7 linked regions of the Ovis aries genome follow. The protein of the gene in region 7 interacts with the protein of the main gene of each other region in a biochemical or structural test. Links are inferred from orthologs where the notes say so. Each region holds a gene or a part of one and is shown on either strand. Other genes may lie near its edges.

Region 1 (3,500 bases), on a different chromosome or scaffold from region 7:
GGGCTTTTTTGTCTTGGGATAAAAACATTTTATCAATTAGAAAAAATCTAATGAAATTAAGAAAATCAAATTAATTAGAGAGAATGGTACAGTGCATATGGAGCTTTGTTTACCATTGTTTTATTAAAAAAACCTTTTGATTTTAGAATAATTTTAAGTTCTTTGATAAAGATAATACAAAGAATTCTCATATACCCTTTACTCAGTTGCCCCTAATGTTAGGTGCTGTTCTGTGCTTAGTCGCTCAGTCATTTTGCGACCAATTTCATGGCCGACTCTTTGTGACCCCATGGACTGTATGTAGCCCACTAGGCTCCTCTGTCCGTGGGATTCTCCAGGCAAGAATATTGGAGTGGGTTGCCATTTCCTTCTCCAGGGGATCTTCCCAACCCAGGGATTGAACCCACATCTCCGGCATTGCAGGCTGATTCTTTGCCGTCTGAGCCACCAGGGAAGCCCAAGAATACTCAAGTGGATAGCCTATCCCTTCTCCAGGGGAACTTCCTGACACAGGAGTCAAACCGGTGTCTCCTGCATTGTAGGCGAACTCTTTACCAGCTGAGCTGCTACCAGGGAAGCCCCCTAATGTTACATATATAGGTTTTGTTTTTCTTTTTATTATTATTTTTAAGCACTTATTTATTTGTCTGCACCAGGTCTTCGTTGCAGCACGCGTGATCTTTTTAGTTGCAGCATGTGAGATCTTCAGTTCAGTTCAGTTCAGTCGCTCAGTCGTGTCCAACTCTTTGCGACCCCATGAACTGCAGCACACCAGGCCTCCCTGTCCATCACCAACTCCCAGAGTCCACCCAAACCCATGTCCATCGAGTCAATGATGCCATCCAACCATCTCATCCTCTGTCATCCCCTTCTCCTCCTACCCTCAATCTTTCCCAGCATCAGGGTCTTTTCCAATGGGTCAGCTCTTCACATCAGGTGGACAAAGTACCAGAGTTTCACCTTCAACATCAGTCCTTCCAATGAACAGCCAGGACTGATCTCCTTTAGGATGGACAGGTTGGATCTCCTTGCAGTCCAAGGGACTCTCAAGAGTCTCCTCCAACACCACAGTTCAAAAGCATCAATTCTTCTGTGCTCAGCTTTCTTTATACTCCAACTCTCACATCCATACACGAACACTGGAAAAACCACAGCCTTGACTAGACTGACCTTTGTTAACAAAGTAATGTCTCTGCTTTTTAATATGCTGTCTAGGTTGGTCATAACTTTCCTTCCAAGGAGTAAGCTTCTTTTAATTTCATGGCTGCAGTCACCATCTGCAGTGATTTTGGAGCCCAGAAAAATAAAGTCAGCCACTGTTTCCACTGTTTCCCCATCTATCTGCCATGAAGTGATGGGACCAGATGCCATGATCTTCGTTTTCTGAATGTTGAGCTTTAAGCCAACTTTTTCACTCTCCTCTTTCACTTTCATCAAGAGGCTGTTTAGTTCTTCTTCACTTTCTGCTATAAGGGTGGTGTCATCTGCATATCTGAGGTTGTTGATATTTCTCCTGGGAATCTTGATTCCAGCTTGTGCTTCCTTCAGCCCAGCATTTCACATGATGTACTCTGCATATAAGTTAAATAAGCAGGGTGACAATACACAGCCTTGACGTACTCCTTTTCCTATTTGGAACCAGTCTGTTGTTCCATGTCCAGGTCTAACTGTTGCTTCCTGACCTGCATACAGGTTTATCAAGAGGCAGGTCAAGTGGTCTGGCATGCCCATCTCTTGAAGAATTTTCCACAGTTTATTGTGATCCACACAGTCAAAGGCTCAAACTCTTAGTTGTGTCATGTGGGATCTAGTTCCCTGACCAGGGATCAAACCTGGGTCCCCTGCATTGGGAGCTCAGCATCTTAGCCACTGGACCACCAGGGAAGTCCCTAAAGGTTTTAGATAATGTTAACACGATAGGGTTTATAGAAGTTTTTTCTGTCTATAGCTAAATATTCTTCTAAGTCTGCATGAAGTTTTTGATGAATCATAACCTCCCTTCTTTTCCCTCCCTAGGTTACTATAACAACAGCACCAAAGTGGCTGTAAAAACACTGAAGCCAGGCACAATGTCTGTGCAAGCGTTCCTGGAGGAGGCCAACCTCATGAAGACGCTGCAGCACGACAAGCTGGTGCGGCTGTATGCCGTGGTCACCAGGGAGGAGCCCATCTACATCATCACTGAGTACATGGCCAAGGGTGAGTACCCGCCCCCACTAGGGCTTGTGGCGGCCCAGCCCTCGGAAAGGACACCCAGGCATGTGATGGCCCAGCCCTCAGAAGGAGAACACTTAAACATTCAGAGACCCCTCAGATAATTCAGATTATCAGCAGCAGGCTCACTCCAAGGGCTTCCCAGCTGGCACAAGTGGTAAAGAACCCGCCTGCCAATGCAGGAGACATAAGAGATGTTAGTTTGATCCCTGGGCTGGAAGATCCCCTGGAGGAGGAAATGGCAGCCCACTCCACTATTCTTGCCTGGAGAATCCCATGGACGGAGGAGCCTGGTGGGCTAGAATCCATGGGATCACAAAGAGTCGGGCACAACTGAAGCAACTTGGCACACAGGCTTATTACAAAAACATCAGAAAACACAGGACAGTGAAGCCCTTTCATAAGCCACCTCCCTGGAAGTCATCTGCTGTAAAAGGAATATGTTGTCTTCCCAGTTTCTGGGCACTTATCTCAATGTACCTGCTGGCCTCAAGAATGAGACCCTAAGCCTAGACGGCCCCCTGGACATACTTGTCAAATAAGTAAATACCGATTTCAAATAAGAGTATTATTGTTTGGGGTTCCAATTGTGAGTTCTCAAAACTGAAAACCAGTTCCTTGTCCTCTTTAGCATTATCTAAACGTTCGGAATGACACTTTAAAACATAAATATTTGAAAAACTTGGCCAGGTCAAGTTCCTGCATTGTCACAGAATCCCTGAAGAAGTGATTTCAAGCAGCCATCTTTTCTCCCACTGCTGTCCCCTTCAGATCAAGGATCTTAAGTCATCATCCTTCTTCCTCCAGCTCAGGAGAAATGCTAATTAAACTGCCCGTGATTTCTAAAGAATCTTCAGAAGGAACGAAGATGATACCTAAGCCATTATCCAGAATTAACAGTGACCTCCTGAGAATGGAGATTATAGTGTGATGCCATAACTGAATAGGTTAGAAAGATGAATATTGCATTTTCTTATTTAATATATGTTAATATTTCAGAATATTAATATCCTCCAGAGTCCTTCTAAAAAAGAATATTTTTTAAGCCCTATCAGGGCTTCCCTGGTGGCTCAGTGGTTAAGAATTCTCCTGCCAGTGCAGGAGACACGGGTTCGATCCCTGATCCTGAAAGAGCCCACATTCCACGGAGCAACTCCGCCCATGCGCCACAGACACTGAGCCTGTGCTCTGGAGCCCAGGAGCCACAGCTGCTGAAGCCCATGCGCCCAGAGCCCATGCTTCACGAGAAGCCACTGCAGTGAGAAGCCTGTACCGCAGCTAGAGAG
Region 2 (3,500 bases), on a different chromosome or scaffold from region 7:
GAAGGTGTCAATCCATTCATCAAAAGTAATAAACATCGCATGATCATGTTTTTAGATGAACTAGGGGTATGTATACAATTTAAGTATTTTGACACCTAAAAGCTTTTCTATCCAGAACTGAAAAAAAAATTCAAAAGCTGCATATTTTTGTCTACCTTCCTAAACAAATTATTTCATTTGATTATAATGATAATCATTTATTCTTATGATAAGTAGTTTTCACCACGAATATAGTATTGTGGCTTTTGGATTTCTTGTGTCATTTTCAGTTTCTGTCTTGTCTTTCATTATCTTCTTAGCTGCCCACCTCACCACTATGTCAGTCTGTTGCTGCTTTAGCTGCTTTAACAAAGTAGTGGAACTTGAAACAGTAAAATCAGTATTTAGTCTGGTAGTACTTTATTGACACTAAATTACTTTATGAAACTTAAGATAATTAACACTGATTTCTATATGTTAATTATGTGTTTGTGGCATAGTCCACAGATAATTATAGACCTGAATGGTTCTCATTAACACCTGTCATGTAGCTCTTATATGTGCTGATGAGTTTGGACAAATTATACCAGTTTAATCATGAAAGTCAGTCTGAAAGAGCATAGGAATTTTAAGTTTGGGTTGCCTTTAATCCATATTAAAGAGTTAATGCTTGCATTATTTGCCCTCCAGATTTTTTTCTTAAAAAAAAAAAAACTCTTCATAGATTTAAAATTTAGAAAAACCATTTGCTTAGAATAGCAGTAATACTACATGATATTTTGTCCTGTGACTGAAGAAAATGAAACCTGATTTTTGTGTGAATATTGAGGTCATAAAATCTGTCAAGTTGAATTTTAAGAGATTATTATGTATTAAATTTTATCTATTGTACCAGTTAGGATCTTTTCAGAAGAGATAGTAGTGTCATATTTCTAAACCCAGTTTTATGATTCCCTTAAAGAATGTACCTGAACTTCCGGACACTACAGAGCATTCTAGAACTGACCTTTCCCGTGATTTAGCAGCATTGCATGAGATTTGTGTGGCCCATTCAGATGAACTGCGGACGCTCAGTAATGAGCGTGGTGCACAACAGGTAGGTTTTTGCCAGCCTTTGTTAACAATATTATTTCTTTACATGTAAGCACAATATCAGCATAAGATTCTTTGAGAGCTGATAAACAGCTGAACTACAATTAGTCTTACTTTACTAATTAAAATTTTAAGACTCTGAATCAAAATCCACAAAGATCTCAGCAAACAGGAATGATGAGCCCAGATTAAGATTACATATTTTTGATACCACAAAATGTCAAACCTTGCTTCTAAGTTAATGTGAACTCTACTGAAAAAACGGAGGTGTTTATACCCTTTGTGGCATGTATGGAAGTGGTAAGTGAGCTAACAGTCAATCAGTAGTGATGTAGTGTTTTTCTGTCTGCTTCTGTCACACACACACCGTGCATGGCCAGGTAACTCTGCAAACTGTCAAACACATGAGAATTATGCATGTGTTCTAAGACTGATAAAAACATTTCAAGATCCAGAGATTCTGGAATATGGCCTTAAAAACGAAGCACTGTCACCAGTGGCTGACATGCGGCAGGGGCCTTAGGAGGGGTTAACACATTGACTGCAGTGATTCTGAGTTCTCCTCAATCTGAGATTCTACAGTTCTCGTTTCTTCCCAGTTTAGATACTAATAGCACGATTCACTTAGGTTCCGATCACTTTAGAAACTCAGGCAGAATATGTGCCATAGACCTACTTATATGCTCTTGGCACCTAAATTGCCTTCCTGCTACACTGGAGTTGGGTTTATTATATGGCTTGCCTTAAATACTTTTTTTTTAAATTATTTTTTTGGAGAATGTGGCCCAATTAAGACTTTCTAAGAAAGATAAAGGAGCTGAATGATTTAATTGTAGGCCCAGTGTTGTCATTCATGATTACAGCATTCATTAGACTATAGCCTGATTGCCCTTATGTGCTCTTACAGGGCTTGAGGTGTGTCATTTATAATGATAAATCTGTCTTCTGATAAGATGTTGAGTAAAAAATTATATCTCAACCAAAATAACATGACCAGAAATATTTAATCAAGGACTGAGTAATACATACTTACAGTTGTATGCTTTTTTTTGAGTAGAATGGTAATGTTATTTTATGAATCCCTTTGAGTTCATATGGTATTTTTCAAATCCAGGTTTCCCATCCCTGAGATTTGACAGAGCTTTCATTCATTTACTAATTATTTTCATATTGTTTTTCCTTGTCTAGCATGTACTGAAAAAGCTTCTGGCTATAACAGAACTGCTTCAGCAAAAACAAAACCAGTATACAAAAACTAACGATGTCAGGTAGCAGCCTTCGCCGCAGTGTTCTGCATGGATTCAGCATGCCCCAAATGGTAAATCACATCAGTATAATGTCTCCTTTGCTCTTGCCAAAAAAATAGCACACCTTTCCACATTCCAGTGATGTGTGAGCTATGCAAATAGAACTCAAGATTCTGCTGGTAACTGCTCCAGCAGCTTTGTAAGCTATCTTTACCAACCTCTGAGCCTTGGTGTACAGATCACCTTTCACACAATGTTATGACTGTATCTTGAACTTTGAAAATATATTTTCAATACATTCAATTGCCAAAGTTTTGCTGTTTCTTGAGAAAAGAACTATGAAAAAGCATTCTCTGTTGACAATTGAGTATAACTGGATTGCAGACTGTTCTTACATTACTTCTTCCTGAATTAGGAATATGACCGTCTGACTGTTCAATGACTTTATTTGTATTTACAGTTTCCAGAATTTGCCATTACAATAGGAACAATCCTTGCTGTATACTTTTTTAAAATAACTGTGCTATCTCTGCTGGAACTGTTGAAAGAAAATATATAGAGTGGATCTATTGCTCATCAGCTTTATTTTTTAAACGTACCACTTATTTTGTTGGAATTGTCAAAGACTGTATTTAGAACTCATAATGCTTTTGTTTAATGTTTACAACAGTAAATAGTTTGAATTCAATAAATATTATTGGTCATTGTGTACTGATCAATGCATGTTACCCATTCAACCATTTATAAATGACCAATTTCTTTTGTATGTTAAAAAAAAAAACCTAGAATACTTTCATTGAACATATTCATTAATTCCAAGTTGAATTTTTAAATTATGCGAACAACTTTATCAGCCACTGAACAACTATCCATCTTTGACCTTCTGACTACTTGTTGTATCTGCTGGATATTTAGTTTGACTGTATAGTTTTATTTGCTTCTGTATGTGTATTTTTGTGAATTATTCACAGGGTTAAGTTAAAATAAAACCAAGGGATATCTTAAAATTGATTACTTCTGTCTAAATATAGCTAAACATTTAATTTCATTATATTCTTCCTCCTTTAGGGGCAGTTCAAAATTTAGTACCAGAGCAAGGCCCAGGGAGAAGATGAAATTTGAGCTTTTTTTTTCTAGCTAATGGTCTCTTTTGAAGGATTCTATTAATTCATTATGTATTTG
Region 3 (3,500 bases), about 4.0 Mb from region 7:
AAGATGGCTTAAAAAGCCCTGCAGACACTGTTCCCACCCAGTCCTCCAGGATCTGTTCCGCACTTCAGACTTTATGACCCTCCTAATCTGAACCACTTGGTGGTTTCCAGAAGTCATCATGTAGTTTCATTCTAACTCTCTTCCTTTTTTGTCACCTCTTCTTTCAATGTCTCTTCGTTTTTCTGGTCTCAGCTTAGAAATCATCTCCTCCAGAAAGCCTACCCTGATCACTAGTACCCTAGAGGCTGTGATTGGTGTTCTTTCCGTGCGCATAGTTCCTCAGGCTTCCCCTACATAGTAGCAGTTACCCAGAGATTGTTATTGTCCTGTCTCTTTCTCCAGTTAGACTGGCATTTCCCGAGGACAAAGACCAGTAAGATTCTTCTCTGGGTCCTGAGCCGGGGGGGCCTGATCACTTACGTGTTGTTCAGGATGTGGAACTTCTCGCCCTTGGTGAAGGTGAGATCATCCTCCGTTCGGGCCTCATAGTCATAAAGGGCGATGAACATGGTCACCCCAATCCCTGCAGAGTCAGGGTTACTCATCAGAGGGCTCCCGGAGGCTGCACCCCCAGAGTCCTGTTCCTCAGACAGGCTCTCTGCCTTTCCACTGCGGCAGTGCCCTGGAGCTCAAAGGTCTTTGGAATCCAGTGGATTTCTGATTTGGACCCTATGGATTGAGGACAGACACCATCGAGCTCATCCCTCCTCCCCTGGGGGCTCCCTGTGAGTCCCTTCTGCTCTCCCCCACCATGCAGACATCCCACTGGTAACTGTCTTCAGAGTCCTTTCATCAGACGGGGAACAGAGCTCTGTCTGCCCCTCAGATGGGAGTTTCTGAGGGTAGGGCTGGACAGGCTCCCTCAGACTGCGCTAAAAGCAGGGCTGTGTCTCCCAAGTCATCCTGGAGGTTCTGAAGGACAAGGCCAAGTCTCTTCTCCCCTGAGGTCCTGTGAGGGTCCAGTCAGTGCTTGCCTCCAGCCCCCTGGCCTCACCTGAGATGCCCCGGATGGTGCCCGCATCGAGGAAGGCGGGGCTGGCGGGCTGAGGGGAGAAGCTGTTGTAGTTGGGGATGTGGGAAAAGGAAGATGCAGGCCGGCTCTGAGTAGGGTCGGGGCCGTAGCGGTCTGCAGCCCCATAGTTCTTGAAGTCCCCTTCCAGACCATCATCCTCTTTGGCCCCCGGCTCCAACTTCTTGCAGAACACACAGCCCATGCCAGGTGCCCTGCTACAGAAGGGGGGCATGGTTCACTCAGGGGTCCACGTGAGACATATAGTGTGCAGAGGCGTGCAGCTGCCTCACTCAGGCCTGGCGGGGGGAGTTATCCCTAAGTGAGGGATAAAGGGGGGCAGGGTCTCCATTCTGTCCTCCCCCACAGCTGCTTTAGTGTTTCTGGAGAGTATATATCTCCTCCACAGGACTGGTTTTCTGTTTCAAGATGTTTCTGTGTTTATGTACATGTTTTTGCCTCCTATTGCTTCAGTGTGTTGGGTTTCTATGACCCCCCCTCAGAGTGCGTGCGTGTGTGTGTGTGTGTGTGTGTCTTTCATGTGTCTCTTAGTATTTGTGACTTTGCTCGTGGGTGCGTGTCTTTGTGTGTATCTAGGCAGCTCTTTGTGAATGTCTATGTCTGTGTGTATGTGAGTGTGTTCTTGTATGAAACGTCTCTGTGTGCTCATGTCTGTTGGAAAGTGTCCATACGCAGGCGTTTCTGTGTCAGCATGTATGTGTGTGTCTCTGTGTTTGCAGGTGTGTGTGAGTGAATGCGTCTGTGTGTCATGACCGTGCATGCAGCCCTGTGTGGGAGTATTTGTGCCTGCCTGCGTGTATCTCTGTGTGCAGGTCTGCGTCAGTCCGTGTGGGTATGTGCATGTCTGTGCATGTGCGCATGTCTGTGTGCCAATGCGTGTTTATGTGTGAGTGTGTGTGAGGCCTGTGTGCCTGCACCTGGAGAGTCCCTGCAGAGGGGGATCAAGGCCATTTCCTGTCGTGGGTCCAGCCTCTGGCCTTTCAAGCTGCCTCACTCTCGCTCCCCCATCTGTTACCTAGCAACAGGGCCCTTGTAGGAGGAAGGGGCTGTGAGGAATTGTGGGGCCCAGAAAGGCCACCGCCACCCCATTTCCTGACCCGGGGAGCCCTCAGCCCCCACTCACCCCTCAGGCCCCTACTCCTGCGTCAGAAGGGCTGTGGCATGGTCCTCAGGAGGGGCCGGAGACCTGAGGGCTGGACAGAGGACACAGAAGATGAAGTCCCTGCCAGGCTTCTGGCGGCCAGATGCCCACACGCGTCCTCTCCAGGGAAGCCAGGGGCCTGGGCTCTGCCCCGACAGGACTCCTCCTTCCTTTTCCTCCTGGCCTCCATGGCTCACTTAATCATCCACCCTCACACAAGACCCACCACCCACACCAGCCCTCTCACACTCATCTCCACCTGACACATCAGCACACGAGCAGCACACACAGCGGCACAGTCACCCGCGGCACTCACAGCACACCCCTGCCAAGCAGGCTCAGCAGCACCAGCACACAGCGACACAACCAACTCACACGAGCCCAAGCTCGCGGCACGGCAACGTGCACACACGCACGTGCACACAGGTTGCCCACTCAGGCTCACAGACTCGCACACTCATCTAAGCACATCTCGGGGTTAGACCCAGGTCTCTAACAGGATTTCTATCAGCCCTGTTCAGTTCCCTCTAGGCCTCTGGTCACTGTCTCCTAAAACCAAGCCCTCCCTCTGAGCTCTGCCTTGGCACCCCTCCCTGGTCTGGGTAAACCCCAGCAGTCCCAGGACTACATTGAATAGTCGAGGGAAGATGGACACCTACCTCCAGAGCCACCTACCTCCAGAGCTTGTTCCACACCACGGAAAGGCCCAGGTCAGAAGTCAGGACCACCAGGTCCCTTGGGAAGCCCCCAAGGGAGCCAAGGCTTTCCCGGTAGCTGTGTCTTCTGAGTGACAAGGCAAGCAGGTCATTGAGCAAGGGCTTTCCACACCCTGCCAGAAACTCTGCCATTGCAACACTCAGAGAGGAACTGCCGGGGAAAGGGCTCGACTTCCTCAGATGTGAGCTCTGCTGCTGCTGCTGCTAAGTCACTTCAGTTGTGTCTGACTCGGCAGCCCACCAGGCTGGGATTCTCCAGGCAAGAACACTGGAGTGGGTTGCCATTTCCTTCTCCAATGCATGAAAGTGAAAAGTGAAAGTGAAGTCACTCAGTCGTGTCCGACTCTTAGCGACACCATGGACTGCAGCCTACCAGGCTCCTCCGTCCATGGGATTTTCCAGGCAAGAGTACTGGAGTGGGGTGCCATTGCCTTCTCCGGATGTGAGCTCTAGGGTGGGGCCAACCCGGTGTGCCTTCATTTCTCCCAGAGGACCCTCAGGACAGGTGTCCCGCCTCGCCTTTCTCGACTCCTGAGTCTGGTTCCCTTCTCCTCTCTATGGGTCCTGCCCACCTGTCCAGCCTGCACCACTCACCTCTTCCAGGAAACCTTCC
Region 4 (3,500 bases), on a different chromosome or scaffold from region 7:
CAGTTTGTAAAAGCAGCACATGAAAGTTGGAGATGGACTGTCTATTAATGCCTAAAAACTCAAATTTACTTGTCAGGGTATTTGCCAGTTCTCCAATCTGAAACTGTAATGCAGGAAAGAAAAAAAGGAAAAATTAATAAGAGTCAGAATATTGTAAGCACAGTCTTTCATTTCTCATTGCAGACACTAGAAAAATGGATCTGCCTACAAGGCGGGTCCATATTCTGCACCTAGTTATGCAGAAGATAAAACCTGACTTACAGTGAAATAATTCACACAGAAAGAATAAATAGTGACGCAAGGTCTAGAGAAACTGGAGGCAGTACCTACGCTAAAACAATATGGAATTTGAAAAGAGATCCTAAATGACATGACTCCTCAATACTGTCCAAACCACCACGCATCCGTCACTAATTGCTTATGCCAGCCATACACTAAACAAAATGGGTTCTCCCAATTCCACCCGCACAGCTGTACTACCTGCTGACTGGATGGACTTTTTAAAGTCGAAACAATAGGCGAAGTGGTTTTCCTAACAGACCACGCTTAAAGAGCCACATACTTACTTGGTCCAATTCTTCTCATGACATTAGCAACAGAAATAAATATGGAACCAAGCATGCCTTTTGTGTAAGGGCAAGTATTGGGTTGGACACAAAGTTCGTTCTGGTTTTTCCGTAAGCTGTTACAGAAAAATCTGAATGAACTTTTTGGCTAACCCAATAGTTCATGCAAGTTAACTCTGTTATTTAAATTTGTGACTTTAGTTTCTTTTAATGCTTCCAAACTAGAGAGGCCTATATTTGATAAGCTACTGCTTTCCAATGGAGACTTACTTATAAGTAGTTAAGCATTTAGAATTTATTTTTAGATTTCCCTACATCAAGTCAGTCTCCTTATTTCAGCCTTAAATGTATCTTTTTCACTCAACCAAATGATTTATATTATAAAGACAACAAAGATTACTTTTTTACTACTATCCAGAAGAATAAGTTTACTACTTTCTAGAAAAAAAAAAATAGCCTATTTAAAATGGTTGGCCAATTTAAAAATATTACTTGTCAAGTTGCATTAAATAATGTACATACTTTCAAGTCCTGTTCTTCTTCTACTTTAGGTACTGTCTGTACTTTTAATTTTTCTGGAGATTCTTCTGCTTCCATCTCTTTATCTGAGTTTTCATCCATTTTTTCTGAATTTTCAGCACCAACTGCTGCAAGAGAAAATATGAGAAATTAAATCAGAAGGACGATAAACAAAAAGGTCTTACTCTACAGTGCAGGGGATTATACTCCATATCCTGTGATAAACCATAATGGAAAATATTAAGAAAAAAAAACCAGAATGTCTATATGTATATAACTGAGTCACTCTCCTGCATAGGAGAGGCTGACACAAAACTATAAATCAACTATATTTCAAAAAAAATGTTAAAAAAAAAAAAATCAGACCAGTACTAATAGAGCCCCAAATATACGTTCTTATCCCTAGAGCAGAGGTATCTGAAGGTTATTAGTGCTCTCCTTTGCCTATTTTCCATACATGTTAAGGAAGCTCTAATGACTTACCAACCTACTGTCTTTATAAAGCAAAAAAAAAAAAATTATTTCTTTATAACAGGGGTCCCCTATCTTGAGGGTCTAATGCCTGATGATCTGAGATGGAGCTGATGTTAAAAGTAATAGAAATAAAGTACACAATAAACATAACTTGCTTGAATCACCCAGAAACCATCCTTCATCCTCCCCGCCCCCAACTAGGTCCAAGGAAAAATTGTCTTCCACAAAACGGTCCCTGGTGCCAAAGAAGTTGGGGAGACTGCTTTATAATCACATTTCTTAAAATGTATCTACATATAGGATTTACTTGTTTTAATCACATTACCCAAAAGTTTCTGCTTTTCCTTTCTCCATCTATTAATCTTTTCTGATCTTTTTTTGGGTCACACTTAGTGGCTTGTGGGATGTTAGTTTCCTGAACAAGAATCAAACGTGTGGTCCCCTGCAGTGGAAGTGCAAAGTCCTAACCACTGGACCACCAGGGAAGCTCCTTTTCTGATCTCTTTCAAAAACCCATGGCTTCAATTACTTATGAAGGCTAGATATCAAACCTGGAATATGTGAGGATTCTTTATGAAGGGGGTTTTGATAAAAAGGCTTCCATAATCAGAACAGCATATTAAACTGGGAGTTAAACCAAATAACTCCCTTCTTGGCTAACACCTGTAGACAACCTTTATTGGACCTACTTATTCCTCTGGTTAGTGCTATCTGCTGGCAGTGAGAATCTCCATAAGAGAACAGGTTTACCACATATTTAAATGGACTAAAAGTTCATAAGAGATATGAAGTCTTTGTTATATTTGGTAAACACCTGCTTATCAAACTAATCCATATATCCAGTATAAATCACTCTCATGAGGATCATAGATAAAAAGAAAAAGAACAAATTTGAGTACTCTTTCTTAACTTCAGTTAATCTTTGATCTAAAGAAGAAATGTGACTTTAACACCAGTCTCAACAGCTTTCATAAAAAGTCTGAAATTTAGTATTAAGTACTAAACCTTATCATACGATGGCCTTGTTCTTTTTATTTGATCATTTACATTCCTTCTGAATTTTCAAACTGTCTAAAACTAAATCTTTCTACTCTCCCATTGACTAGTTTCTAGTTTATTTATACATCAGACATCTTACATTTAATGACAGGTTTAAGAATTCAACAATTTCAAAGAACTGCTAGAGCTCTAAGATATGATTATTTTGGAGGGCAATTAGGCAGGATTTATCAAATTAAAATGCACATACCCCTTAACCTAGCAATATACCACTAGCAGTCTATACTATACTAAAACCTGCATAAACACAGATGTCCCAAGATGTTTGCTAAGCTTCATTTTAATTGTGAAGTATCATAACTAACGAGTATAATACATAAAGAACATGAGCCCTTCAGTAAGTACAACTCAGCTTAACAGAAGACCATTTAGTAACACCTTAAAGCTCCCTGTGCCTCTCTCCCATCATGCTCACACCAGACACATCCTGGTGATGTTAAGAAGCGCCTGCACCTTCATCATGGACAGATCCTGAAGCACAGTAGTTTTGCTTGTTTTCCAATTCACATAAATGGAATTCTAACATGCATTCTTCTGTGGCTTTTGAAACTCAACATTATTATTTCTAGTGATAATTCATGTTGATGCATGTAACAATGGACCATTCACTTTTCACTGCTATTCTGTATTCAATTTCAAAAACACATCACAATTTATCCACTATTCTTTAGGTGGACCTTTGAATAGCTTGTACTTTTTTGGGATAATATAAATGCAGTATTACTTTTAACAGTGGAATGAGGATACAAATGGTGACCAATGAGGGAAGAGTTACATGAAGACATCTGTAACACTCAGTAGTGAAAAACAATCATGTTGTTTAACAATTTATATGGTTAACCTCACCTATGTTAAAATTTACATACGCCCACTTCACAAACA
Region 5 (3,500 bases), on a different chromosome or scaffold from region 7:
ATGAAACAACTGGCACACAGTCCCAGGTTGTGTGGGTGTGGGGCCAGAATGACACTTACCAAATGACCACACATCTGACTTGCTGCTGTAGCGACTGAAGGAGAAGACTTCTGGAGATGCCCACTTCACTGGGAATTTGGTGCCTGTGGAACTGGTGTATTGGTCATCAAGGACGAACCTGGGAAGAGAGAGGAGAGAGATGGTCCGAGTGTCCTGGGGGCCTGCGTCCCATTCCTGAGACTTTGCTGGTACCACATCCCCATGTTACCTTGTCATCCCAAAGTCGGACACCTTGATGACTTGGTTTTCCCCAACTAAACAATTCCGGGCAGCCTGGAGCAGAGACAGGCAAACAAAAGGGAAAAGAAAACTTGGTGAGTAATCAGTAATTAAGGAGTCTCCTATAATCACAGTGCTTTGCTTATATGGGAGCAATAAGGAGCTTCACAAATGTTAATTAAGCATCACTAGTGCGCGATGGAAACTGAATGCGTAAGCTCTTTTTATCAGGGTGAGTAAATCTCATCTTTCATCTTCATTCCTGGGATCCTAATCAAAAAAGAAATCCATGGTGTTGTGTAACCAATTATAAGCTCCAGTGCAACCTGATGTGAATCTTAGGGATGGTATGGAGAAGCTGTCATCCATTTGACTAAAGTGAGAATGTATTGAGGTTGCTAATTCTCTTAAAACTATTCCTCAATGGGGAGATGACATGGTCCCTAACTCACATCACAGAGTCTTGGATTTGAAGATCCCTTACTGATAAAAGATCCAGTGAGTCTTAAATTCTAATGTGCCTGCAAATTCCATGGGGTAGACATGTTAAAATGAATATTCCTGCGCCTCAACCACCAGAAATTCTGAGGTTGGTTCTAGGATCACCCCAATGCGATCCTGATAGATCCTTGGATAACATTTTAAGAAAGCATGTGCTTGTCAACTTCTCTCATTTTACCAAGAGGATGTGGAGACATAGAGAGGTTAAGGAGGAGCCGCTGTTAGCTTCATTTTGGAAGAATGTAAACTCCAACTTAGAGAGTGGAAGTTAGAGGTGGGGCTGGGAATAGAGCCCAGAACTGAGTCCCATGAGGCTCTCCCACATGGGTGGAGGAAGGAAGAAGTTGCAACGGGGAGGAAGAAAGCTTGTGCCTTTTTATTGATTCGTGCCGTTCCCAGACTTGGTAGTTCTGCATTTCAGTGGGACATGCCCCTTTACCCTGGACTTGTAGGGTTTTGCCCTGCATCCTCTTACCAAGTCTCTGTGGATGACACACTTCTCTTCCAGGTAGGCCATGCCCTCACATACGTCCAGACACATGCCCAGCAGGGTCTCCGCGGCAAAGAGCCCCCTCTGGCTACGCAGGTAATCTGACAGGCAGCCGTGTTCCATGAACTCAAACACCAGGCAGATGGGGGCCTGTTCCAGGCATACTCCATAGAGCTGGACTAGTTTGGGGTGAGAGAGTTTCCTGGAGAACAATGGCAAGAGTTGAGATGGTCTAAATTCAGTTTCCCAAAATACACTCCCTCCCTCAAACAAAAATGTCTCATTGAGCTGAAGAATGGCGCGGACTCAGCTGGTGTGTGTGAGGACAACGAAGGTCAGTGTGACTGGCATGCATGGAACCAGAGGAGAGATGGGTAGGAGATGAAGTTAAGGAGTGGGCAGGGCCAGACCATGGCAGGCGTTCTAGACCACAGTGAGGAGCTTGGTGTTATTCTCCATGCCATAGGAAGCCATCGCTGGACTTGGGCAGGGAGGTGGCATAAGACGACATTAGAATGGTATTGAAAGATCACAGTGCTCTCTGTGTGGCCACTCACATCATGACTTCAGCCTCCTCAATGAAGTCCTCTTCTGACATAGCCCCTTCTTGAATGGTTTTGATGGCCACCTTGTCCTTGTTGAGCCAGTAGCCAAGATGCACCAACCCAAACTGCCCACTGCCAATCTCCTGCACAAAAGTGAGCTCTGAGGGATCAATCACCCATTTCCCTGGAACAGAAAGAGAGGGTTTTCCAGAGTTGGCAAGCAGTAGATATGAGGTATAGGACTACCAGGAAACTATACTGCTCTATATAGAATGTTAGACTATCGTTAATGTAGCTCAAAGATGGCAAATGGTATAAGCCCTCATACTTAGAACTATAGATAGGTAAAATTATCTTTTTCCCAAATAATTACATAGAATGTGCACTGAAAACCATGAAAAAATGTGTGTGGGGACGATCACATGGAAAGAGGACGGAGGACGGCATTAGTTGAGATATTAAAGTCAATGAAAGGGTTCTAAGGTCCCAATCATCTCCTATACCTAATCGAAAATTGTTCTTGCCATTTTTCATGTAGAGCAAGTTTTATTTGAATTGGTCATTCATTCATGCATTTATCCATCAAGAGCATCCATTTTGTAGACAGCACTTGTTAGGCCTTAGCGGAGGTAAGGCAGTGGATTCCAGGTGGAGTGGTACAGAGGTGCAGGCCAGCACACGGCCTAGCACAAGGCAGGCTCTCAACAAATGCTCAGCAAGTGAATAAAAGGGATCTGAGTCTCAACCTCCATGCTGACAGAAATGAATGGGTTCATAAAATACTCTCTGGGCTTCCACCCAGCATGAACACATTAGGATTCTACAGGTATTGGAGTTACTTTGTTTTTGTCAGGAGGCTGAGGGGCACTATCCTCTCCTGGCGCTTGGTCTAGTACCATAAACAGTTCAGTTTCTACCTCTCTGAGGCAGAGACTCAATAGGAAGCAGTACCAAGAACCCACAGTGTGCAGACATGGCGCTGGTTACAGATGAGGAGCCCACAGCGACATTTCTCAAAGTATCACCCTCTAACCCCTGGTGTCAGAATCACCCAGGGCACTTGCTGAAAATGCAGCTCCAGGACCCAACTGTCAGGGATTGCGTTTTGGTAAGTGCTGGGTTGGGGCTGGGAGTCAATACTTTTCATAAGCATCCTAGATAACTTGAATGCCCACCGAAGTTTGAGGACCACCAACATAAAAGTTACAACATGAAAGTTACATCAGCCTTCTCCTCGGCCAGCACAGTTGGGATCAGGGTATGTTTGCATCCCCAAATGCCTTCAGGTTCCAGGCAGAAAGTACAAGGGGGTGAAGCGGTTTCATAGGGAAGGAAGGAAAAGTAAGGTCCATGGCCCTGGAGATGTATGCCCTGTCTAAAAGCATTCAAAAAATTTTAACACAGTGCTATGTGGACACACACTTCTGGATGCTGCTAGCTTATAGCACCTGCAAGGGACTGATAGCCAATAAACCAGATGATACAGAAGTTCTAGAAGATAGGCAGGAACACAGTGGTGTAGCATTGGTTTCTCACAGCACTGAGTGGAATGCTCTGTACAGAGCAGGTGGTCAGCGAACACTTCATTGATATGACCTAGATAAATGTGCATCTGTCTATCTATCTATCTTACACACATTGTAAATGTTCATTTGTGTATACCATCTCCAGATATATAATGTACT
Region 6 (4,263 bases), on a different chromosome or scaffold from region 7:
CCAGCTGCTGAAGTGTGAAAGCAAAATTGGAGGCATGGTGATTTGCTTGAAGGGGAAAGGAGGAGAAAGCATCCCAGAGTAGAAGACTTTTGAGCTGGGCCTTAGGTTTAACAGAACCCAAGCAAATCAGATGGGGTTAGGAGATTTCAGACCCAGGAGAAAGCAGAGAATAAAAGTACAGAAAGCAGAATATGCATTTGTTCACATTCAACCTCACCACTCTCTTGAACTCGGTCAACAGAGGGTGAGCTTATTGTGCACTTTCTTTCCTGGGTTTGGCCAAACAAACAAGGCTTTGTTTTTTTGTTTTGAACACTACCCTCATTAACCCTTTTGCTTTTTTTAAAATATAAAATGTTCCAAGATGAATGTCCTTAGAAAGTGCAGGAGTAAATGTTTAATGAACCATAACAATTCTTCTCTAATAAAATTCTTGAAGAACTTGAGACAGTTCTATTACTTATAACAGTCAAAGAGCCATGCTCTTAGGAATCAATGGGTTCGACCTAAGTTTTGACATTATTGATTAAGCATGTAACAGTCACTGGCTTACAGAATGGAACATTAAGCCCCCAGATTTACATTTACATTTCCTTTTTAAGAGGAACATCAAGCAGATGGTTTAAGAGATCAGGCAAAAGATTCTCTACCTTCTTCGCTCATAGCTAAGTGCCTCCAACACCTGAGACAATTAACAAAACCACTTCCTCCAAAAATCAGTCCCTTGTCTGAAAGCACAGGACCCGAGGGGCAGAGGGGCAGGGACTTGGGAGAAAGAGCACAAAGGGTGGAAAGTACGGCAGTGGCTTGGCGGTGAGAGGAAGGAAGTGGCTGTCTGAAGGGTACCCTGAAGCAGGCAAGAGAGACACAGTCCCCAGTAGTCTTCCAAATACCGACTTACTGCTGTGTTAGCAATGTCCCCAGGAGCTTCTTTAAATACAAGGGTGAAACAACCATCACTGGGTGGACAAGACTTCATTTCAAATGACTTCAGTCCTCCTTAGACTTGAGAGAAGCAAGTTAGGCTGCCTCACTCCTAGCAAACATCAATATAACTCTCTTTTGGAAACAAAATTCTCCCTCTCCCACACCCATGTATCCTACCCCCTACCATGAAAGGGAGTTAAAACTGGGCAAGGGAGGGTGCTACCCTGAGAGTAAAGCAACTCTTCAGACAGCTGAAATCAATTCCCCCTTCAATCTAAGAAGTACTGCAGCCGCCAGTCAACACTACCGGTCCATGAATACAGCAAAACGGCAGCACCTGCCACCCTGCATCTGGGGCCTTTTATTTTTTGGTAAATGTGGCAGGAAAGACTCTCAGAGAGAAGATCAACTGCTTTATCTGAGCAAAAGGGAAGCCCCAGGGAAGAGAAACAAGAAGCATCGCGCCCACCCTTGGGCACTTTATGCGTCTCCTCTCTGTGCACTGAAAGGGCTCTTTGTGTCACACACACACATACACACACACACCCCGCGAGTCTGTGTGATTTATTGGTGGGAGGAGGGGCGAGAAGGGTGATTTTATTATCCCTCTTCTCACTCAGTCCCAGCAAATCTCCGCCGAGGCCCAAGCCTGGTGGCCTCTTTCTGGCTCAGTCCCCTCCGCCTGTGGCCGCAGAGATAAGAGAGGGGAGGCGACCAAACAAAAACAGTCATCGATCTAGGGAAGTAGAGAGGAAATCCAGAGAGCTGAGAAGGAAGGAGAAAGGAGCCTGAGGGAGCAGGAGGGTTGGAGGGGTCAGAGGAAGAGGAGCTAAGGCTCCAGCACGGGGGACTGGGGAAGGGTGGGTGGTGGCACAGGAAGAGTCGAGGGGAGGATGGGGGAAGTGCAAGGGAGGTGCCAGAAATAAGCTGGAGGATGCGATGGGAAAGGCGACGGCCACAGGAGGAGGAGGCCGAGAGGTGGAGGAGTGGGGCAGGGGTGGAGTGGGGTGGGGAGGGAAGCAGCACGGGGCATCAATTATTAAGTGATTACATCATCCCTGACATTAAAACAACACACACAGCCCGGGTCCCCGCGGGGGGCCCCGAAAAGAGGGCGGAGGCGGAGTCTGGGCCGGCCTAGCCACCCCCCAAGCCAATCCCTATTCACACCCTGAGGAAATGGACCCCCCAGCCCTGCGCTACCTCGGGGCTGCAGCCCGCAGAGGTGTCCTCCGGAGCGACCACAGCAAGACTCCAAGCAAGGCCAACTCCCTGGCAGCCCCGCGGGGAGCCCCAGAGGCAACGATGGCCAAGAGACTGCAGCGCCGGGCCCCGCGGCGGGGGCGGCGCTGCGCTCGGCGCCCGCGGCCCGCATCTCCGCAGCATCCCCGCGGCCCCGCGGCGCATCCCCGGCCGCTTACCTGCGCTGCGCTCAGGCTCCGGAGCCCATTCACATGGTCCACTCCCCGCCTCCTCCGGCGCGGCCGAAGCGGCTCCGGTGGTTGCTCGGCGGGCCCGGGAGCCGGTGGGCCTTCTGAGAGTGCCCAGGGGGCGGCGCCGGGTGTCCCCGGCCCGGCGACTGGATCCCTCCCAGGCGCGGGCGGCGGCTTTGTGTGCGCCTGGGGAGCCCTCGGTGCGCGGGGTGAAGCGCCGCGCGCCCGGGCGGTGATGGACGCGCGGCTCCGAGGGCAGCCTCTCTTCTGCTCCCTCGGCCGGTTGGCGGGCGGGTCTCGGCGGCCTTCGGCTCGCGGCGACCCCTCCTCCTCTCCCGCGGCAGCCCCCTCCCCGCCGGCTCCGCTCCTGACAGATGGCGCAACTGCAACGACGCGCCGCCGCTGCCGCGGCTGCTCCGAGCTACTCGCGCTGATGCTCCAGCCCCTCCAGCCCCAGCGGGGAGTGAGGGAGGGCGGGAGGCCCCGCGAGAGTGGCAGGCTCCACTGTCCAATCAACGAGCCCCTCGGGAGCAGCGGGCGGCGACCATTGGTGGTTGAAGCGGGGGCGGGGCGGCGATGGGTGGGGCCACCGAGTGGGCAGAGCGTTCCGGTGGCATTGGGCATCCTGGCGTGCTTGTGGTGTAAGGGTGTGAGAGGGGATACTAGATTGGAGGAGTTGTGCGTGTGTGTTTTTTAAGGTTTACGTGGACTTGAGGTAGTGGGTTAGGGTAAGGAAAGAAGAGGAGAGTGTGAGCTTCAGTTTCTGCTTTGGAGAAGGTTGCAGCCGCTACTGCAGAAAGGCATCTGCCATTCCCTCAAAACCATGGGAACCTGCCTTGAGAAAGGGCTATCTTTCCTTTCTGTTGTCTTTTAATTTGAAGGTGGGAGGATAAATTGGGAAACTGTTAGGATGATTAAATTGTTTTCTCTGATCAAACCGAAGAGTGCGGAGCAAGGGAGAATCCCATCACAGAAACCTGGAAAAAAGAGAAACCTGGAAACGCGCGGTTAATATTATCAGTAATTATAAGGAGGGGGAGGAAGAAAAGGAAGGGGATAAAACGGAATAAATTAGAATGAACTGATAGTCTTCTGATATATGTATATATATATAAGCAAAGTCTGCAGGAAGTATTAGGGAAATACGAGTAAGGGGTGGAGAGGGCAAGCGACTACTATGGAATCTGCAATCACAGAGTGGGTGTTTGTTTGTATAGCTTTTTCCAAAAGCATGTTCAATTGTAGCCATTGGTTGTCTTTGTTTTCTCATGAATTCAGCCTTCCCGTGGTTTTTTTCCTTCTCTAAATCTGAGCTTTTGCTCAGATTTTCCTTGATGAAATAATAGCTGGTTTAATATACAACTGGGAGTGCATCAGTCTTTATTTCCTATCCAGCATTTCTATGGCAGGATGTAACTTCATTAAAAAAAAAGCAAACACTTCAGCTTCCTGATTTTCTTTATAGGTAATTCCTGTTTACTGAAAGTTCTACTCTAAGGCATGCTCAGATTCATTCTTCTTAATGATTTTGGCAAGAATCCTACCCTACCCCCTCAGCAAAATATAGCGCTCTGAGAAATATAAGTGAATTGGCATCTGCTTCTATGTTCAAAATCTATAATATTACCTTTCCTGCCCACTAAGTTTTGACTGTAGTTTTCAAATACCAGTCACTTTTTCTGCCTTTTTTTGGATACATAGTACTTAAAAAAAAATTAAACTAAGAGGTATTTATATGGAAACTTCCCCCTGAGAAATCTGTGCAATATTGGGTGGGGAGGGGGTTGTTTGTTTTTAATCTATTTTTATTGGAGTATAGTTAATTTACAATGTCTTAGTTTCTGCTGTACAGCAAAGTGAATCAGTTATACATATACATATATCTACTGTTTTAGATTCTATT
Region 7 (3,500 bases):
CAAAGAATGAATAACCTCTGACCAGGTGGTAATAAGGAAGACAGGTAACCTGGTCTGTTCCAACTCTTCCAAGGCCTTAAATACATTCTGAAAGAAGCTATATACCAATCTGTTTAACGTCATTAACAGTTAACGCCTACAACCATCATGCCTCCTTCAAATCAACTCTACTTGAGTAAACTCCTCCAGGACAGAGTCTTGAATGCACTCAGGTCAGAATTTAACCCATTAACACTGGAGGCCAGATAACACATCATCAGACTAGATGATACTGTTATCATCATCTAGACTCTCAGGAGTCTATACTATAACCCCTTAACTGCAGGGGGGTTACAACCACCTTCACCATTTTCCTGTCATAATCTCCTGGTTCCATACTAGCACCAAAATACTTAATTTATTGAAGACCTTGTTAAATCTTTGTTAACCAAATGTTGGAATGCCAAGACATACTGTGGATCCAAGATATTGACAAAAGATACTGGCATACAACTAAAATCACATTAAAACTAGGACTGGTAGAGTGGCCTCGGGGCACAGTGGTTTGAGAACTAGGTGCAAGTAATGGACTACCTCAGAAAAATGAACATAAATGCAGAATTGGATATGCAATTTCAGGTTATGCAGAGACCCTGGTTAAGAACCCCTGCCTTAGCAATAAGCACAAGATCCTAGTTTTCTCTTGCTCAAATGATACAGGATATGGATTTCCTTACTGGTACTAGAAACTTCTTGACTTCCTCCATAGCATGGGCCATAAGAGCATAAGCCTCACATGGGGGTCCAAAGACTTCAATGAAGACATGCAGATCCATATTCAAGTGGGCATATTTGGGGTCTCCACCTTTGCGCAACTCTTCCTCCTGTGAAAAAATGCACAGAAACAACATTATCACTTGGACTATGTAGAAAATGACACCTTTACCATTAGGCCAAAGGGACAGTAAGAAATGACTCCAACACCTCAGAAAAACCCAGTAAAGTGTAAGAAAAAAGTAAACTCTGGAGTACAGTAATTTACACAGTCTGCTAAACCTGCGATTGGTCTGCTGCTAAAAGCTGTTGTTCTGAATTGCTGGTGTGTTCATTGGAGCTCATATTAGAAGGCACAGAAGAGACAAATGTAATTCCAGTCTCCATTCGGATAACGGCTGTTTGCCAAGCATCCATCCACTCATTCATTAATTGCCAAGCATTTGCTTTTATTAATAAACCCCAGGTAGAGCTGTTAATCACCAGCTCTTCTGATCTGCTTGTATAGAGAAGGAAAAAAGTCACAATAGAAGAAAATCTCATGTACACCTCATTAAACAGAGTATTATACTTCAGCCCTAAATGCTCATCAATCAGGCTGCATACAAGGAGGCCTGAAAGAGTTAAGTTTTTAGGCTGGAGCAGGTTATATCCCATCTAAAAAGCTGATTCTAGAAAGCTAAGACTATTTTATTTTGGTGGGAAGTTTCTCCACACTTAGAGAGAGTATAAAGAATACGGGGCTATGGCCTGGGGAAAAATAAGCTCTGGATTCTATTGTCAGGATTTCTCATGGTTCCTTCTGTGACATCTTCCTTTAGCATGCCTCACATTCCAGCTGGCTATAAAACAAACCAGCCAACTAATCTTCAAACTCACCTGCACTCACAACACTATTGCTCACATTTTCCCACACTAACTGGAAACAGAATGCTCTTCACATTTAGTGTCTTTAGCTGGGTAAGTTTCAGTACATTCAGCCTCCCCTTCCAAGTTTTCCTAGATAAGCTTACTAAAGGCCAAAGCTGCTACTGCTATTTCCATTACTACACAGTCAAGTCAGAAAGAAAACAATCACCAGGGCATACCAAGGTTCTTCTTGGGTTGCCAAAGTAAATTAACTGGTCTACAATCTCTCACATCCAATGCGAATTTAAGGGAATCACTTTCAGTACACACGTAAGAACTAGCTTCCATAGGTATCCATACTGGACTCTAGGTTACTGGAAGGCATTCGGGTGTCTTCTTGCCTCATTAATGTGAGCTTACCTTGGCTTTGTCTCTCATTGAGCCTTTTCCCAACACAGAAATCTTTGCACCAGTCTCTTCTTGCAGTCTTTTGATTGTATTTCCCTGTGGTCCAAGGATCTTTCCCACAAAATTGAACTGATAGAAAATAAAGACAGATTTCTAAATGTGTATGTTCCTATAAAATATTTCTATATGTATTATTTATCTTCAATACTTCCTGTAAAGGAAGTAGAGTACTAACCACTCCCATTTTACTGAAGGATATACTGAAGTGGTACTGATAAAATTGATTAGCCAAAGGTTATACAACTGGAAAGAGGCTTCCTGGGTGGCTCAGTGGTAAAGAATCCATCTGCCAATGCAGGAGATGCTGGTTCAATCTCTGGGTTGCAAAGACCCCCTGGAGGAGAAAACGGCAACCTATTTCTGTATTCTTGCCTGGAAAACCCCAGGGACAGAGGAGCCTGGCAGGCTACAGTCACAATGAGTTGGACATGAGTGAGCAACTGAGCATGGCATGGCACAAAACTGCAAAGCGGCAGTTCTGGAACTTGAATTCCTGATGTAGTATGATGTTCTTTCCAAATTATCACTCCACAACTCTTTGTAATTTAACATACATAAACGTTTTTAAGGCAGTTACTTTAGAACAGAACAGACATACGTTACCCCCCTTTGGTAGTACTGGTCTGACTAAAACTAGTTTGTTTTTTTATAAAAGGAGTAGTAGTAGAAACCATTTATTTAAAAGTGAAACTTTGGGAATTCCCTTGAGGTTCACTGGTTAAAACCATGTGCTTCCACTGCAAGGGTCACAGGTTCCATTCCTGGTCAGGGAACTAAGATACCACAAGCAGTATACCCCAAATCAAAAACAAACAAGAGCAAAAAAACTTTGAGTAAGAAATAAAATTAACTTATTCATTGTGTCACAAGGATTTGTGTTGTATTTCTTTTATTTAAACTTCAGCTCAATCTTTCGACAAAGAACAATTACGGTTCAATTTTTTTCCTTTAAGCTTGAAGCTAAACAAACATTTGAGAAAGAAATTCCTTTTTTGATAATAAAAAGATGGTCGCATTTCCTTCCTGGCTGTAGCTATGCTCTTAGTTGCAGGCCTGTGTGTCTTGCCTGCTGGATACAGTCATTATAAGCATGGGACAGAACCTTCACCAGGCCCACAACCTCTGCAAATCTTTTGTTACAGCTGGTGCTACAAGACACACCACATACTACACATTCTCATACTACGAAGCCAATTCAAAGAAATGAGGCACTCTTTCCCTTACCTTGGGATACTGCTTGACAGGTATCAGAACCCTCTCCTTCAGCTTCATGTTCTTGTGAGAAAATAAATCCAAGTAATTCTCCTCATCGTCCTTTTTTGAATCCCCTTTCTGAATCTTCTCAATTTCTGAATAGGACAAACAGAAATTTAATTTAGCTTTGTTCTTTTAAATAAAGGCAAAATTCTGAGTCTACTTAAAGCAGTAAG

Evidence for each region.
Region 1: the proteins of KHDRBS1 (region 7) and LYN form a complex in vitro, tested with the Homo sapiens proteins (3 studies listed by BioGRID and IntAct, with this or other methods). The link is inferred for Ovis aries from reciprocal best matches to the Homo sapiens genes KHDRBS1 and LYN.
Region 2: the proteins of KHDRBS1 (region 7) and RASA1 form a complex in vitro, tested with the Homo sapiens proteins (2 studies listed by BioGRID). The link is inferred for Ovis aries from reciprocal best matches to the Homo sapiens genes KHDRBS1 and RASA1.
Region 3: of the proteins of KHDRBS1 (region 7) and FGR, one has a biochemical effect on the other in vitro, tested with the Homo sapiens proteins (2 studies listed by BioGRID, with this or other methods). The link is inferred for Ovis aries from reciprocal best matches to the Homo sapiens genes KHDRBS1 and FGR.
Region 4: the proteins of KHDRBS1 (region 7) and FNBP4 form a complex in vitro, tested with the Homo sapiens proteins (2 studies listed by BioGRID and IntAct, with this or other methods). The link is inferred for Ovis aries from reciprocal best matches to the Homo sapiens genes KHDRBS1 and FNBP4.
Region 5: the proteins of KHDRBS1 (region 7) and ITK form a complex in vitro, tested with the Homo sapiens proteins (4 studies listed by BioGRID, with this or other methods). The link is inferred for Ovis aries from reciprocal best matches to the Homo sapiens genes KHDRBS1 and ITK.
Region 6: the proteins of KHDRBS1 (region 7) and FYN form a complex in vitro, tested with the Homo sapiens proteins (4 studies listed by BioGRID and IntAct, with this or other methods). The link is inferred for Ovis aries from reciprocal best matches to the Homo sapiens genes KHDRBS1 and FYN.

The regions. Positions count from the first base shown.
Region 1 is NC_056062.1:36,204,287-36,207,786, forward strand, and holds part of LYN (tyrosine-protein kinase Lyn), read left to right. Parts: intron 1-2,016; coding exon 2,017-2,199; intron 2,200-3,500. UniProt on the Homo sapiens protein: Non-receptor tyrosine-protein kinase that transmits signals from cell surface receptors and plays an important role in the regulation of innate and adaptive immune responses, hematopoiesis, responses to growth factors and cytokines, integrin signaling, but also responses to DNA damage and genotoxic agents.
Region 2 is NC_056058.1:84,650,801-84,654,300, forward strand, and holds part of RASA1 (ras GTPase-activating protein 1), read left to right. Parts: coding exon 1-66; intron 67-940; coding exon 941-1,075; intron 1,076-2,060; exon of another isoform or gene 2,061-2,259; coding exon 2,260-2,343; 3' UTR 2,344-2,389; exon of another isoform or gene 2,390-3,500. UniProt on the Homo sapiens protein: Inhibitory regulator of the Ras-cyclic AMP pathway. Stimulates the GTPase of normal but not oncogenic Ras p21; this stimulation may be further increased in the presence of NCK1.
Region 3 is NC_056055.1:239,424,390-239,427,889, reverse strand, and holds part of FGR (tyrosine-protein kinase Fgr), read right to left. Parts: exon of another isoform or gene 3,482-3,500; intron 2,955-3,481; exon of another isoform or gene 2,831-2,954; intron 2,224-2,830; 5' UTR 2,154-2,223; intron 1,228-2,153; 5' UTR 1,215-1,227; coding exon 995-1,214; intron 524-994; coding exon 421-523; intron 1-420. UniProt on the Homo sapiens protein: Non-receptor tyrosine-protein kinase that transmits signals from cell surface receptors devoid of kinase activity and contributes to the regulation of immune responses, including neutrophil, monocyte, macrophage and mast cell functions, cytoskeleton remodeling in response to extracellular stimuli, phagocytosis, cell adhesion and migration.
Region 4 is NC_056068.1:76,423,842-76,427,341, forward strand, and holds part of FNBP4 (formin-binding protein 4), read right to left. Parts: intron 1,214-3,500; coding exon 1,089-1,213; intron 104-1,088; coding exon 1-103.
Region 5 is NC_056058.1:66,503,356-66,506,855, reverse strand, and holds part of ITK (tyrosine-protein kinase ITK/TSK), read right to left. Parts: intron 2,000-3,500; coding exon 1,828-1,999; intron 1,473-1,827; coding exon 1,256-1,472; intron 334-1,255; coding exon 269-333; intron 179-268; coding exon 60-178; intron 1-59. UniProt on the Homo sapiens protein: Tyrosine kinase that plays an essential role in regulation of the adaptive immune response. Regulates the development, function and differentiation of conventional T-cells and nonconventional NKT-cells.
Region 6 is NC_056061.1:25,879,285-25,883,547, reverse strand, and holds the start of FYN (tyrosine-protein kinase Fyn), read right to left. Parts: upstream 2,801-4,263; 5' UTR 2,349-2,800; intron 1-2,348. UniProt on the Homo sapiens protein: Non-receptor tyrosine-protein kinase that plays a role in many biological processes including regulation of cell growth and survival, cell adhesion, integrin-mediated signaling, cytoskeletal remodeling, cell motility, immune response and axon guidance.
Region 7 is NC_056055.1:235,455,258-235,458,757, forward strand, and holds part of KHDRBS1 (KH domain-containing, RNA-binding, signal transduction-associated protein 1), read right to left. Parts: intron 3,420-3,500; coding exon 3,295-3,419; intron 2,140-3,294; coding exon 2,023-2,139; intron 864-2,022; coding exon 717-863; intron 1-716. UniProt on the Homo sapiens protein: Recruited and tyrosine phosphorylated by several receptor systems, for example the T-cell, leptin and insulin receptors. Once phosphorylated, functions as an adapter protein in signal transduction cascades by binding to SH2 and SH3 domain-containing proteins.